Linked DNA regions of Mus musculus: region 1 is reported to be linked to region 2. Evidence: microRNA targets listed by miRTarBase, many of them from high-throughput screens and not tested one by one. Region 2 holds a microRNA gene; the other region holds the end of a gene's coding sequence.
The links. The annotated mature microRNA mmu-miR-703 reads AAAACCUUCAGAAGGAAAGAA and lies in region 2 at 1,321-1,341, opposite strand. An mRNA with a match to its seed (bases 2 to 7 or 8) in the 3' UTR can be bound and repressed. Matches are read on the target gene's strand: a 7mer-m8 pairs with bases 2 to 8, a 7mer-A1 pairs with bases 2 to 7 and ends in A, and an 8mer does both.

Region 1: miRTarBase lists Pcnp as a target of mmu-miR-703. Seed matches in the 3' UTR shown: 8mer at 1,953-1,960 and 7mer-m8 at 1,828-1,834.

What each region holds. Positions count from the first base shown.
Region 1 is chr16:56,014,336-56,017,428 of GRCm38, forward strand. It overlaps Pcnp (PEST proteolytic signal containing nuclear protein), which reads right to left. Exons shown (of 5, transcript NM_001024622.2): 5 at 1,173-2,982. The coding sequence ends at 2,856. Among named protein-coding and RNA genes, the nearest start is that of Pcnp, 14 kb to the right of the region's middle.
Region 2 is chr5:98,474,296-98,477,492 of GRCm38, forward strand. Mir703 (microRNA 703) reads right to left here and starts at 1,369; the gene lies at 1,261-1,369. The region is part of intron 2 of Cfap299 (cilia and flagella associated protein 299); the gene reads left to right.

The DNA of each region.
Region 1 (3,093 bases), not on the chromosome of region 2:
TGAACTGTAGCCCAGCTGGAGCTACTCACGTTAGAGACAACTCTCATTTCTCCCAGCAACCCAGATAACACAGAATAGGATTAAACAGGAAGACATAAAATATAATAGCATTACCACCTCCTGACCAAGATGGGTCCTTGTGATCCAGGCAGGCCTCAAGATCTTTTATTATTCCTGCTCTACCGGCCAAGTTCTGGGATTCCAGATGTGCATTACCGGCAGTGTCTGGGTTTTGGACTGGCTATCAAACCCAAGCCTTCTGTACAGTAGGCAAGCACCCTCAAAACGGAGCTGTCTCCAGCTTCTGCCCTAGCAATCCATTTTCTTACTCTCTTATTCAGTTGTCCTTTCCCTAACCCGAGGATAGATAGCATTCTCTTCCTACATCTGAGACCTCTTAGGTTCAGTCCTTTAATTAAATCACTGCTTGAGAAGCCTTTGACATTCATCCAGGTGCTGGTAGCAGTGCACACCTTTAATCCCGGCAGAGGTGGATCTGTGAGGCCAGCCTGGTCTACAAAGTGAGTTCCAGGACAGCCAGGGCTACACAGAGAAACCTTGTCAAAAATAACAAAAAGAATCCTTTGACCATTAGGCCACTTTCAAAGTTTATCCCTGGGAGGTCTGCTCCTCTTTTGTAGGGAAACAGGAGGAATAGATGTGAGGAAGAAGGGAGGTGGGGGACGAACTAGGAGGAGTGTGTGTGTTGTGTGTGTGTTGGGGGGGGGGGAGGGGGGCACAGTTGAGATGCAGTGCATAGAGAGTAAAAAGAAGAACAGAATCCCTCAGAGTGTGCTCTGTCTGATCTACTAGAGTACAGTGCTACATGTGCATGGACACTCACAATAAACACACAGGAAAAGGAAGTCTTTAGAGATCTCAGGAGCTGATAGTGTAGCTCCTCTCGGACAGAGTATATAAGAGCATTGTAAATGGAATGCAAGAATCTGCCGACCAGAGTCAGGTAGAGTAACAGATAATGCTAACACATTATTCTGACGACTGTCTAATGAGCAGTAAGAGGTTCTGGGGGCATGCTTCTAAGTGGCAATATTTTCACAATGTTTTGTGTCTCCTTGAACTCACCAGCATGCCATATACACAGACTATTTTAAAAAACATTTTCAAAGACACAGTAAAAAAAAAAAAAGAAAGAAAATAAGACCACCACCAAGTTTGACAAAATTTATTGTAATTTTAGTAAAGACATTCAGCTCAGTCGTCTCTCTCCATCTTGACGTCAGGTTAATTTGTTATTCGAGTCAAGTAAAGAATATGTAGGAGAGGTGTTATTTCAACAAACAGTAAAATGGACAAATGGACAGTTTGCAGACATAAATGTTAAATTTATGTATCTTGATATACTTAAATCATGTATGAACTAATAGTGCTATGTACATTTCCATCGTTTTACTTGGGGCTTATGAAGTAAACTAAACTGTAGTGAACCAAGTGTTAGGAATATCCGCAGGCTGCTTCTTGAAGTCACTACATTAAAAACTGCCCAGTGAATCATCGCCACCCAGGAAACTCCCCGAAGCTGCCTCCAAACTCAACATTGCCATTTTCAAAGGACATTTTATCATCTCTTTTGTCTGTGACTATTAAAGATGCATTTAACTGTCACATTTAAAAAGCCCATATACAATACAAAAATACAAAACAAACATCCTACATTCAGAACTCTAAGAGCATATGCGATGAGACGCTCGCAATGAAGATGTGTCTAGAGAAGCATTTCTGTCCTATTGCAGTCACTAAATGTGCTTTTGAAACCACTGGTCAGGTTGTATGTACGTAAAATAAGCCTGGAGTTGGACAAGTAAGAAACCTTGTGAATTCAATTCAAACCGGATCTAGTAAGTTAGTAACACAAATGCTTCAAATGTCACAGGTGTGTCGCCTCATCTGCCTTCATACAATGCTATACCTTTTTTTCCTTTTTTGTTATTTAAACCTTTTAAAAAATAAAAGCCAGCCAAATACATAAAGCACTATGTACACTGATATTTTTGGTGGTGTTTGTACTTTAAAAGAAACAGCTTCCTTATGTTTTGCCTCAAGTTCTGGTGGAAATGCTTCTAGGAACTAGAACAGAAACCAAGAGAAGCACATTCAGAATACTGGTTCACTTTGGTAGCAAATAGTGTCCTCTGAAGGTCCTCAACGGAGACACACTCCGTTAGAGTGGGCTAGTCATAATACTCAATTCTTCATATAAGAATTTTTAACGAAAAAAATTTATTTTTACAGAGCAAGCATCGGTACCCACTGAGAGCGAAGCAGTACTAGCTAGAATGGCCCGAAACAAAACGAAATGCCCGCAGGAAAGGGTTTACTTGAACCTCATCTAAACTTCCTCTCAGCCAACAGTCACAACAGTAACACTGGCTTCTCAAGCCAATCTCCCTCTCGGTAAGGCTGCTGCAGGGAGCCGGACAGTCGGGTAACGAGGGAGAAGTCAGGAGAGGAACTGCTTCCAGTTTGAAGCAGACAATAACTTTTGGCTTCCCTCTTAATGTGCTAATAGTTGTGTCTAAAAAAATATGCAATTCTTAGAAAGGTACCACTTGTGATTTCTTTATTATCTGTAACCCTTGGAAACTAATCATGTGAAACTACAAAATTAGCAAATGTCTTGAAATCTGTATATAAAACATAAATTACCTCTAATTGCAAACTCTCATTTATTAGTGTACCACTCAATCTTAAAAAAAAAAAAAAAAAAAGAAAAAAGGAAAAGAAAAAAAGAAGAAAGAAAAACGGCTCCAAAGCTAGTCTTACACCATTCTTTACAAAAAGGAGACTGCTCCTTCTAACTGCACCCACCCACACCCCAGTCTCAGACACTTCACTTAATTGTCTTGGTCGTGGACGTTTCCAAGATGAGATTTTATATTTCGCTCCCACAGCTTCTGGTTATCGGAAAAGCCATGCTTCCCTTTATTAAAGGAGTTTGGTCCCGCTGATGTTGGTGTGTCCCTGTGTTAAAAGAAATTCAATTTATTCAAATTATTGTTGTGGTCTATTTTAAACATGTTAATATACATTTGCTTAGCGCTCATTAGAAATACAGACTGAATAGCAGAGGCC
Region 2 (3,197 bases):
GGTACAACATTTGAGATGTAAATAAATAAATAAATAAATAAATGAATAAATAAATAAATAATAAAAATTTTCACTATTCATATTATTTTCTATAAAGCAAACATGGAAAAAAAAAGAAAAATATTCCTTCTGTGGTCCTGATCTTTAAATATTTTCATGGTACAGATGTGACTGTGTATCTTACTCTGACCAAGCCAGATGAAATTCTCAACTGGAATAGCAGAGCTGTAATGTCCTTTATTGGAAATCAGTGGTTCATTTTATTATCTAGATTTCTTCTGAGACATCACCTAAGTATTTGAATGGCACAGAATATTTTAAAAGCTGTAGAAACAAGAGACATTAATGAAACCAGGAAATACTTTGTTAATATGAAGGCAACTTTCCAGAGAGTTAAACAAAACTTGAACAAATTTACTATTGAACCCAGTAGTTATAAAGTATATATATGTATAGCTAGCTATGATGGATAGGGCCATGTCTAAAATTAGAAGTTGATTGAAATAAAATGTAACCTTCCATTTTCTCCTCATTACATGTGAAGAGAATTTATTTGGTCAGCCATAAGAAAAAATAAGTTTATAACTGAAAATATAATTTATTATATATAATTAAACATCTGGTTTTTGTTATATTTCTCTGCAATACATATCTGAGTCTTAAAAGCCTATTTAAAAGCCTCATTGTTATATAATTCAGGACCTCCGAAGGGGCTACCTAGTGTCATCTGAGGTAGCTTCAGCTGTGGCTAGAGATACACTTCAAAGATGGAGCCTTCATTCACATTATAGGTGACTAACTTCTCTGACTAGTGGCCGGTCTGTCTCTCTCTTCATATGACAACTCATTCACTTGAGCTTTTCTATGTGGTGTGAAGTTTTCATAGCATGGTAAGTTCAATATGGTTGCCTTTGTTATATGTGTGAGCAGAAAAAAAAATCATGACCAGTATTTTTTCCTGTATTTCACTGTGGGACATTATCAGATTCAAGGAGGTGGAGGGGGAAGGATATGTTTCATGACGCCTCTACTGTCATTATCATGGTTCATAAATCACAAATCTAAAGAGTGCTTATTTACTGAGAAGCAGCGTTTATCATAGCAAATAAATGGAATGAGCCCAATCAGTTATCAGTAATGAAGAGAGGAAATGATGGTTTTCTAAGGACGGAGTCTTTTTTTTTTTTTTCTCATTAAACTTGTTTTAATGGTCTCAAATTCTGTGACAGATTTTTGGTCAAGTTGTTTCCATTAAAAAGTACTGATTTTGAAAACTAATAACTTAAAACTGCCACACACAAAAAAAAATGGTCCACAACATTCTTTCCTTCTGAAGGTTTTATGATGCATTGTTATCATTAACCAGTCTTTTACTTTTATTAAACTTAAATGGCCAATTGAGACAAACAGTTCTGAGGGACGGAGTCTTAAGCAGCTGAAGGAGGTGGTGGAGGAATCTCCTAGCAAGAGCAAGTTAGGTCACACAGTATTCCCTTGAAGAAATTATTGGACCTGTGGTCCTTTCCTCTTTCTTCTGTACATCCTGGCCATTGTGAGGTAAACCTATTTTTGTCTGCCACATGACTCCAATCATCATATATGATGTTACCACAGGCCAGTGGTGCCTCAACCATGAGAACCATCAGTGGGGCCATTCAACTCTGAGTGACATCAGTGAAACTTTCCAATGATGAGACGCATCAATGGATCCTCCCAACAACTAAGGAGATATTATTGGAGTCACTAGATGGATGGAACCAGTATAGTAAAACCATCAGACTATAAGAAGCGTCTTTTGAAACCAGAGGCCAAAAGAAACTCCTCCACCTTTTCAGTGAATTATCTTCAATGTTTCGTTCCAGTAGTGAAAAGCTGCCTCATACCTTTTCCAGCCTAAAGAGCTTTAAAACAGTCTCTGACCACTCGCTACAGTATGTACCCTAAGGCAAAAAGATCTGCAAAAAAATCGAACACTGTTTTCAATAAGTACATTATTCTCTTTGGAAACATTAGTAGTTTTATTTTGAGATATTTGTGGTAAATCATTGAGTTGCTCTGTTGTTATCTGTGGACTTTAGGACTTTGATACTTAGGAAAGGAGTCTGTGGTTGTCATGAGGGGGCATCTCACATGGAGAGTACAGCTGCTCCCTTAGCCCATCAGATCCTGAAACCCACAGTGTGTTTGCAGGGAGGCCACATCTTCCACAGGTTTCTGTGTCTAGTGGCTGGGTGTAATGGGATGTTCTATTACCTTTTGGGGGGGAACACCTACTCCTTATTGTCTGTGTTTGGATGAAGGTCTCCTACGTGACTTTGCTGAAGATTCTGTGGCACGTTGCCACCTCTGTCTTTATCTGTCTCTTTCCCTCCTTTTTGCTTTGTTGAGACATGGGCTCATGGTGAAGTCTTGAACTAAGTTCTTGCCACAGGCTTCCAGCTGGGTGATGACAAGCATTTGACACTGTGCCCAGTTCTGCTTCTCTGATATCTTACTCCATGACTTGGAGGAAGATGCCAGGTTTACGTCCCAATGCTGCAATTTTAATTTTTAAGAAAATTTTCTATTTTTATGTTTTATCACCATATATTAATTTTATAAAATGATGGGTTTGTTGTGACATTTTCACAATGTGTACAATGTTCTCTGATCACTCTTACCCCTTAGCCAGTGCTCTTTTCATTCCTTATCGTTCTTGATGTTCCATTGTCTGAAAATAATTTTTATTAAAGTAACAGATTTAAAGAACATCATAGAGTAAGGTTTTGTTTTAAAAACAGTGTTAGAATGTATTATATATAAAATGAATGTCATGGCAATTTTTAATATATATACATAATGTTCTTTGATCACTCTCTTTCCTAGTCTTGTTAACCCCTTACCTCTTCCCAACTAACCAGCCTTCTAAGTTTATATCTTTTTGCCTTTCATTTGTGACCTATTAAGCTTAATTAGCACAGTTTATAGGAGCGTAGGAACCTTTCCAGTTGATATACTATTGAAGAAAATGTCTCTCCTTCCCCCATTAATTGCAGTAGGGGCCACATCCCTGAAACTCTCCCTTTCTCCATCGCACAGCTGAAGGACCCAATCTTTTGCAGGCAATCACAGCTGCTGTGGGTTGATTGCAGTTCTCCCCCAGATCCACAGAGCCTTCACACTCCCGCTTGGGTGTCTCAGTGAAGAGAAACAGCTGT